Linked DNA regions of Arabidopsis thaliana. The protein of the gene in region 1 interacts with the protein of each later gene in a pairwise test. Each region holds a gene or a part of one and is shown on either strand. Other genes may lie near its edges.

The links.
Region 2: the proteins of GRF2 (region 1) and GIF3 interact in binary tests that used the Arabidopsis thaliana proteins (3 or more experiments, as listed by UniProt).

The regions. Positions count from the first base shown.
Region 1 is NC_003075.7:17,724,688-17,729,927, reverse strand, and holds GRF2 (growth-regulating factor 2), read left to right. Parts: upstream 1-2,018; 5' UTR 2,019-2,318; coding exon 2,319-2,739; intron 2,740-2,831; coding exon 2,832-3,044; intron 3,045-3,348; coding exon 3,349-3,700; intron 3,701-3,773; coding exon 3,774-4,395; 3' UTR 4,396-4,591; downstream 4,592-5,240. Other genes in the region: bZIP7 (basic leucine-zipper 7), read right to left, coding at 5,211-5,240. UniProt on the Arabidopsis thaliana protein: Transcription activator that plays a role in the regulation of cell expansion in leaf and cotyledons tissues.
Region 2 is NC_003075.7:355,116-359,869, forward strand, and holds GIF3 (GRF1-interacting factor 3), read left to right. Parts: upstream 1-2,229; 5' UTR 2,230-2,559; coding exon 2,560-2,643; intron 2,644-2,975; coding exon 2,976-3,052; intron 3,053-3,153; coding exon 3,154-3,262; intron 3,263-3,337; coding exon 3,338-3,611; coding exon of another isoform or gene 3,612-3,685; coding exon 3,686-3,813; 3' UTR 3,814-4,222; downstream 4,223-4,754. Other genes in the region: AT4G00840 (DHHC-type zinc finger family protein), read right to left, coding at 368-484, 563-628, 716-801, 916-1,042, 1,150-1,241, 1,337-1,535, 1,802-1,990; ATOZI1 (monopolar spindle protein (DUF1138)), read right to left, coding at 4,433-4,578, 4,657-4,753. UniProt on the Arabidopsis thaliana protein: Transcription coactivator that plays a role in the regulation of cell expansion in leaf and cotyledons tissues.

The DNA.
Region 1 (5,240 bases):
TGTACAACACATCTACATTTTCATATGTTATGATCCATGAAACATAGTATAGATATACAATTTCGTATAATTTTACCGTTGTTTATTTGTAGACTATCTAGAAGTGTAAAATATTCGGATATTTTAAAGTCTGCATCCCTTTCCCAAAAATGCCTTGGTTGCATAGATAATTGGTTTTATTATCTTTGATTTTGTTTATTGTCATTGGTTTTGTAAGCAGGGGATATAGGTCGAAACCTATGCGAGAGAGAGGGGACTAAGAAACGTACAAAAGGTAGCCCGCAAAAATTAATGTAAAACAATGTTATTAGCTAGTACATTGGCTAACTTCTTTGGGTTTTCTATCAACCATTGATTTTGCAAAACAGTAAAATCTTTAAAAGTTAAAACTTGCTATAACTTAATCTCTCGTCAATAATATTACGAATCCTAAAGTTACAAGAGAAAAAAATAATACGAACAAAATGGAGCATGACTAAAAGAAAATCAGATCTGACGTAATTATGAAATTAAACCAAAATGTCGTATTTAACTACATAATATTATGTGGAGTGGTAATTATTTACATCATCGATGCATGAACACCACATGTGACTTTTTGTGAGTTAGTTTCTTTTTAGGACATTTACGCAAAGCTTTAACTAACATATACGTTTCTTGTTGGATGGTATTGGTAGTAACACTCTTATCTTTTTCCATTGTTATTATATTCACTTTGCTCCACAAGCTAGTCAATTTGCTGATATAGTTTTAGTGTTTTTTTTTTTTTTTTTTTTTTTCATATTTCAACATTATACAAAAATTATAAAGAAACTGTGATGGACAGTTCAATAGCAAAGTTTGGAAGTGAATGATATTGAATGGTTTTCAAGTTAAAATCATGAGTACGACGTCTGTATATATCATTCACATAAGTTCATACTATATTGTGAAAAAAAGATTATCTAATCCTTTTGTTGTTCATTGGTTTTACTGTTTCTATTATATGACATACCAATGATCCAACCATCAGATTAATTTTATGATAAATAAAAGACAATTCGCAAATTATTACCCGAAGGCATAACTGAAATCGGAGTGTCACTAAATTTATGGTCAAAGCAAATAACGCTTACTAACCGCATCAGTCCAGCAATTTTAATGAACAAAGAAAATAAATCCAGTGAAGAAAAAAAAAGAAAAAAAAAAAAAATCCAGCAAAGTTATATCCCAAACTACTTTTTACTTGCACTGATTACATATGTAATCGAACACATGGATCAATAACCGTTGATGTAATATCACTCAAGAATAGAATTGGCCCATCCGATATATGTAACTTAAATCCTCGGGGAGACGACCAAGAAGATGGTCCAAAAATATCATTGGAACCACGTGAATCTTGATAAATATTTGGTACTCCACTCAATACTATTATTTATTATATGAATAGGACAATTCTTTTATTTGTTTCCTAGACTAAAAATCTCACTAAAAGTGTGAATATATGTGTATATAGTATAATATTCCAAAAATCTCACTTCAAGTATACCCTTTGTTTTCTTCTGCAAATTCTGGTAAAAACAGGCATTACAAATTACAAAATATATCAATATATATTCACCTCCTCTATGAATTAAGACTATTACTATAAGTAAAAATGTTGCTATATTTCTAAAACCACTAATATTTTTCCTTTTGAACATTACAAAAATAATCTAATAACTCCACAGGTTACAGCTAGTTTCTCCCTTTTTTTTAACAATGTTACAGCTAGCTTTCCCTATATGCACATATATCACAACAAAAGAAAATTACTAAAATCTAAAATAATAACCCCCATAAAGAAAAATGCCTACAAATTGGGAAATATGTACTGCAAATAATACAGAAATAGCCTACGTTTTCTTATAGAGAAACTACCACCATATTATACAACTAATTTGGGACCATAAATTTACACAACTTGAAACAAATTGGAAGCTAAGTTTGTACCTTTAAAGCAAGCAAAGAAAACTTTACAAAACAAAGAAGAAGAACTAAAAGCAAAATTAATGAAAAAGCATTGGATAAATATGTTCTAACATGTCCGAGATCCGGATTGTGTTTTTAGGTACCATTCTTGTCTCCTCCCAAAGCTTCACCACAACTATTTTCATTTTATTTTAAAAACACATAATAATATATATCTCTTTCAAGAAAATCAAAAGTAAGCCTCGTTCTTCTCCCTCTGTCTCTCTCTTCTCTCATCTTTAGCTATCTTCCTCCCATGGCAACTATCTCTCAAGTCATTATCTAACTTTTTTTCCTTCTTTTTCTTTTTATATTACTTACTTCTTATGGATATTGGTGTTCATGTTCTTGGGTCGGTTACTAGTAATGAAAATGAGTCACTTGGTCTAAAAGAGCTTATAGGAACTAAACAAGATAGATCCGGATTCATCGGTGAGGATTGCTTGCAACGAAGCTTGAAGCTAGCAAGAACGACAACTAGAGCGGAAGAAGAAGAAAACTTGTCTTCTTCTGTTGCAGCTGCTTATTGCAAAACGATGTCGTTTCACCAAGGCATTCCTCTCATGAGATCTGCTTCTCCTCTTTCCTCTGATTCTCGCCGTCAAGAACAAATGCTTAGCTTCTCAGATAAACCAGACGCTCTTGATTTCAGTAAATATGTCGGTTTGGATAATAGCAGTAATAACAAGAACTCTCTCTCGCCGTTTCTTCACCAGATTCCTCCACCTTCTTACTTTAGAAGCTCAGGTTTGATAATGTCTTCTCTTTATTGATTGGATTTTGGTGAAATGGGTTGTGTAAAATAATCAAATTTTTTACATTTTTGCTGTGGAATGCAGGAGGATATGGTTCTGGTGGAATGATGATGAACATGAGCATGCAAGGGAACTTCACAGGTGTTAAAGGACCTTTTACATTGACTCAATGGGCTGAGTTAGAGCAACAGGCGTTGATCTATAAGTACATCACAGCCAATGTCCCTGTTCCTTCTAGTTTGCTCATCTCTATCAAGAAGTCTTTTTATCCTTACGGATCTTTGCCTCCTAGTTCCTGTAAGCTCCATCTCTTTAACACAATTTCTAGTTGCACATAACTTTCCATTGAGCGATCACTTGTTTGTGAAAGTTTTGGGGTTTTGATCAACTCATTTGTGGTGTGGTTGCTTAATCCAAGAATCAGATTTTATCTAGTCTTTTATGTCATTTTGGTGCTAAATCCTTCATAACATTGCTCATAGGGTTTTCAAGATTTGTCTTGTTGGTTGAAAAGTCTTTACAACAATGGTTGCTTTTAGGATTTTTCATAGGGAATTTTGTTATAAATGGTTAATGAGTGTTTATGTTCGGTTTTGTGTAGTCGGATGGGGAACTTTCCATCTCGGTTTCGCAGGCGGTAACATGGACCCTGAGCCAGGGAGATGCCGCAGAACAGATGGGAAGAAATGGCGGTGCTCAAGAGACGCCGTTCCTGATCAGAAATACTGTGAAAGACACATCAACAGAGGCCGTCATCGTTCAAGAAAGCCTGTGGAAGTCCAATCTGGCCAAAACCAAACCGCCGCTGCTGCATCCAAAGCGGTTACTACACCACAACAGCCTGTTGTCGCTGGTAATACTAACAGAAGCAATGCCCGTGCATCAAGCAACCGCAGCCTCGCCATTGGAAGTCAATATATCAATCCTTCTACAGAATCTTTACCTAACAACAGGTGAAAACAGATTTTTAATACTCTGCATATTCATTGTTAGTTCATATCTCACTTACTGACTCTTGCAAAACAGAGGAGTTTCGATATATCCTTCCACCGTCAACTTACAACCCAAGGAATCTCCGGTTATTCATCAGAAACACAGAAACAACAACAACCCTTTTGAGTTTGGACACATATCCTCTGATTCGTTACTCAACCCGAATACCGCAAAGACCTATGGATCATCGTTCTTGGATTTCAGCAGCAACCAAGAGAAGCATTCAGGGAATCACAATCACAATTCTTGGCCTGAAGAGCTGACATCAGATTGGACACAGCTCTCAATGTCAATTCCAATAGCATCATCATCCCCTTCCTCCACACACAACAACAACAATGCTCAAGAAAAAACAACACTCTCGCCTCTCAGGCTATCCCGCGAGCTTGACCTATCGATCCAAACCGATGAAACAACAATCGAGCCTACTGTGAAAAAGGTGAATACTTGGATACCAATCTCATGGGGAAACTCCTTAGGAGGTCCTCTAGGTGAAGTACTAAACAGTACAACGAATAGTCCAACATTTGGATCTTCTCCTACAGGGGTTTTGCAAAAGTCCACATTTTGTTCACTCTCTAACAACAGCTCCGTGAGCAGCCCCATTGCAGAGAACAACAGACACAATGGCGATTACTTTCATTACACAACCTGAAAACTGAAACCAAGTCCTGCGGCAGGAAACAAAAAAAGAAAAGCTCTGTTTTTTCTCTTTCATTATGTTCTGTTTCGTCTTTCTAAAGCTTAAAGAGGAAATTAGAAAATCGTTGTTCTTCTGATTCTTTCTTCGTTTCCGATTTCTGAATCATTTGTTTGATAATCACTTCATATAATCACAATCTTTATTCTAATTGTTCAGTTACAAACTAGGGTTTATCTTTGCTCTTTCATCAAGGGAAAACTTTTAGGGTCGTAACAAAAATGGACTTGAGGACCTAAATTATTGTTGGGCTTTATGTTCCAAAACTTTATTTGGGCCGAGATAGGCATTTTAACGATTAAGATATATTATGTAGTGATATTACAGTATTTGGGATCGTGGCAACCGGTTTATTAGGCTTGGTTTAGTACTTTAAAATACAGTGTATCTTTTCAACAATTATGGGCGTTGTAGCATGATGTCAATGCGCATAAAGCCTTTCCAGTTTCCACTAAGTAATAATGTAAATCGTTGTATTAATTTAATAACTCTTTAAGTTATTTATCTCATACACGAGAGTGGGAAAAAGAAAACCAAAATAAAAATCTGTTTTGTTTTCCTTCTTCTCTAGTGTAGTGGAGTCACAACATATAGAAAACGAGAAAGTGGAAAGGAAAATTAGAAAACTATCATTTTCTCTTCCTAACCTTCATTTCATTTACATAGAGAGATAGAGAGACATAGCGAGAGTTTCTTTTTTGCTTTGCTTTTTTTTTTTGGTTATTGTTCTAAGTTTTTCGATATTTTTTCTTCTTAAATATTTTGATCTATCATTGAAGATGAGGGTGGTTTTGTTCAGT
Region 2 (4,754 bases), about 17 Mb from region 1:
AGACTGCTGGGGGGATAGGATTGAGTGATTCGATCTTTAAATTATGAGACTTTTTAGTTTTTTCTCTTCTGAATAATACTCTTATCAATTATCCATCAGATTTGGTGTTTTTGCTTTCCCTAGCCCTTGTGCAACGTTGTTTACTTATACAACAAGTTATCACTGGGTCTCATCACATAACATTACAGTCTGAAGATGTCAAACGAACTTAGACTTTCAACAAGAAGCAAAGAAATGAATCAAATCAATTACAATAATACAACAACAATTGGCAATGAGAATTCTTTTTGAGTAGAGAGTTATCTACATTGGAGTGCAGTTGAAGGCTGTTTCGAATATGATTGATTGATTTTGTTTCAACTTTCAATCAAGGGTCGATGTCAGAACAAGTTGGAAATTCAAGGCCTTCAAGGGAAGTTATGTTATCGATATCGTCTTTAGAGTACAATGGGAGGAGCCAAAACGCCTTCTTCTTCCCAAAAACCTTCACAAGATGAAAACAAAGAGTTATATATTTAATTAACTAACAATCCATGGAATGATGAAAACAATAAAATCTCACCTGCTCGAAGTTTTTCTTCTTTCCTAAGTCATATTTCCATCTGACTTCTCCATTTTTCTCATGAACCTAAAAAAATAAGACAATGATTCAGAGAAGAGACTCATATTTTCAAGACTTAGATTGTTTGTGAAAGCAAGAACATAAAAGATTTACCTCAACTGAAGTAGTGTTGGATGAGAGAAGAGAAATATGCATGACTACGAAACAAAGAAGGCTGAGAACGAACGCAAAGTTAAGAACTGCATCAAGGGGATAGAATCTGTAAGAAACATAAAGACGGAAAATGAGACCCAGAAAAAAGCTAAGCACTTTCTGGGAAAAGGAAAACGAGAAAAAGAACCGTTTATACTCACCGAATGCCAGAACGAGAGAGGCCAGTTTACCCGGAGAAGAAGAATGCTTTATAGCTTGGCTGAAGAATTCAATGAAACTAGGAAGCAAGACAATAACATCCAACATTGTCTCAAGAAAAGTATAGAACTACAAATTAAAAAAAGAGGGTGAAGAAATCAGCAAATCAAATAATCCCAATGCTCGCTTAAACCTTTTAAGAACCATAAGAGACTACAATGGAAATGAATATTTACCAGAAAGAGAAGGAAAAACTTGTAATTGCGTGCTCCAACACAGTTTACAATCCAAACACAATGATGATCCATCTTAAGAACACATCTTTGACCTACATAAGGAAACAAAGAACCGAATAAAGCTTTCTTTCTCTATCAGTAGAAACACAAGCAGAACATAGTATAAACAAATCAGATTTCGCCTTACACACAGAACAATGATGGCAACGAGGCGGCTTAACATTCCGGCATTTGGTACAGTAACCTAAAGAGCCAAAAGCTCCTTGATCTGTCGAAGTACCAGCCTCCAAACTGTCACCACCTCCCATTTCTCTTCTGAAATGCTCAGGAACAGAACCTGGGTCTGTAAAAACTGTTGTGAAGTAGCTCCACAACAGCATTATCAGCTGCAAAGAACCAAGCAAATCAGAAGTATAATTGTAAACCTAAACTCAGGGAGCCTAAACATTTACTAACAATCAATGGTCTAAACAATGATTATGTATCTACACTGCTTCATGCTTCATAACTACATTGCATTTCTCATTCTCTTGGCTACATAAGTTTCATGCCACATCCCTAAGTTTAAGGTTTAGGGGTTAAGTAGCAGAAAACCTAGACTTACAATTCCAGAAACAAAACCTAATCTGAAATTATGAGACTTGGAAATTACCAGGAAATGGAAAACAAAGATGATTAAGGCAGCGAGGGCGGATAAAGCTCCATGGTCTCCGCGGATCAAGATCGGCCACCATGTGCTAACTACGACGGCGTAGTAAGATACACCAACGACGGCGACGACAAGAAGGATCATGAAATAGCCGAGGACTTTCAGACCGGAGCAGAACCGGAAAAGGTTCATCTCCAGCCTGGTCAAAGGGAGAATCCGGACAATTCTTCGAGTCCGAGCCGGGAACAACCGCCGTAAAATATCCGGAGCCACGGTGAGGGATCGGAGTTTGCTTGGTTCGGAGGACAACGACGAATCGCCGTCGTGGAGCTGATATTGATACAGATTTAAAGTAACCTTCTTCTTGACACAGAAGCTTTCATAATTCTTTATAAGGCCCATTAACAGGCCCAATAAATAATAACAGCTACAAATGTTGTCTTTTTTTGGTTATCGTAGAGCTGACGAAAAATCAGACAAGGTGCCACGTGTACATTCGGTGGGGGAGACAAATTAATTGGTTGGGGGACTTTTTTGTCCTACGATTTCCCAGAAACCTCGTCGGCGAAATTCAAACAAATCAAAAGTCTTAAATTTAAGGATAATCCAAAATATTCGTTTGTTGAATATTTTTGCATCAGTTTGTTTTGCATTGGGCTCTTAAACCAATTCTATCACTCAGAATTATTGTTTTGTAATAATCGTGAGAAGAAACTTTAGGGTTTCACTGTTTCAGAGTTTTGATTGGTGAATTATAAAAGATGCAGCAATCTCCACAGATGATTCCGATGGTTCTTCCTTCATTTCCGCCCACCAATAATATCACCACCGAACAGATCCAAAAGGTTACTACTTTACTTTCTATATTTTTTGTCTTTCTGTTGTTTAGTCATAATGTCTGTTTATCGTAGCTTTGAAATTGGTTGTGTAATGATGTTTTTGAGTAGTTTAAACTGTTGTAATGAACTTTCCTTCTTGAGTATGATTTGTTTTAAAGTGTCATTGTTTTCCGCTTTAACTTTTTTTTGTTACTGGAATTGGATGTACAATCATGAGTTTGGAGTTTTTTTTTGAGTGAAAACAGAGTATTTGTATGCATATGAGATTTGAAAGCTTAAAATCAGATTGTGAAGATGACATGTTGACACAGTGAGTCACTTATTGCTGCTTCTTGCAGTATCTTGATGAGAACAAGAAGCTGATAATGGCGATCTTGGAAAATCAGAACCTCGGTAAACTTGCAGAATGTGCTCAGTAAGTGTGGGATTCTCGATACCAAGACCGAGCTATGTTAGCTTTACTGATGGTAAATAGAATATTAATAATAAAACATGGTTCTTGCTTGATTCTTTTAGGTATCAAGCTCTTCTCCAGAAGAATTTGATGTATCTCGCTGCAATTGCGGATGCTCAACCTCAGCCACCAGCAGCTACACTAACATCAGGAGCCATGACTCCCCAAGCAGTAAGTTTCTGTTTTGATCAGTTGAAAAACAAAACATTTTGGTTCTTATAGTTTGTGTGTGTTTGGTTTCTGTAGATGGCTCCTAATCCGTCATCAATGCAGCCACCACCAAGCTACTTCATGCAGCAACATCAAGCTGTGGGAATGGCTCAACAAATACCTCCTGGGATTTTCCCTCCTAGAGGTCCATTGCAATTTGGTAGCCCGCATCAGTTTCTGGATCCGCAGCAACAGTTACATCAACAAGCTATGCAAGGGCACATGGGGATTAGACCAATGGGTTTGAATAATAACAACGGACTGCAACATCAAATGCACCACCATGAAACTGCTCTTGCCGCAAACAATGGTAATATTTGGTTTTACAGCAGTTTGGAACTTATTATCACATTACTGATTTTCACCTTCTTTCTCTACCAAAAGCGGGTCCTAACGATGCTAGTGGAGGAGGTAAACCGGATGGGACCAATATGAGCCAGAGTGGAGCTGATGGGCAAGGTGGCTCAGCCGCTAGACATGGCGGTGGTGATGCAAAAACTGAAGGAAAATGAAATAGAGGAAGAATAAGTGATGCTTCTTGTTGATATCAATTAGGTTCTACCTTTCATTTTTACTTTCTTCACGATGATATAAAAAAAAGGTTTTGTCATTTTATGAGTTAGTCTCTGTTAAAAGGGTTCTGAGACAGTTGAGTTTCAGTTCCTAGATGGATGTGGAATGGTTCACATTCACATGTACAATGTTAAATGTTGTTGTATGGTATTAGTGTCACCGGTTCAATTTGGTGTATGAACCGGGTTTAGAATCACGTTTACCTGATAGTTTGCCTCCAGGTTTGTGTGATAATTAATTCCAAGGCTTGAGATGAAAAGTAACAGTTTTAAAAATGTTTACAGAATCAGCGATAACAAAATTCCAAACCAAACAAACCAATAATGTCTTAGAAGTTTTTCTTTTTGGCTCGATTTCATTTATCGTCAAAATCAACAAACCTTACAAAAGTTATGCATCGGGGAAAAGCTTGATCCGAATAATGTGTTACGCATCAACACAAATTATTACTATAACCAGCTAGAGCAATCAGCCGATCCTCAAATCAAACACAAAAGAGCAGATATTCGAAAATGAATCCATAACGAATGAGAACGATGCACGAGAAGGCATCAAAAGTTATTCAGGACGTGACTTGACGATGAAATTCTGGCGACTGATAGGGTTCATGACGACGGGAGGACCAGCAACTCTTGGCCATGCTTGTAATCTCTCTTCAGTCGCAGCACCCCATTCCTTGTTAGTAATAGTTCCTGGTGTAGTACCTGAGAGTTCAAAACAAACCAAACCAAATTTAGCTTTCTGGATACATCATAAGTAGCTTTATAAGGTTTAAAACTTGCCTCCAAAAAGCTTATCATCAGAAATAACTTTGTCACACACGTAAGCTACTACCGCAGATCCCGCAAGGGCACCGATAATGTATGTAGCTCTCGACATC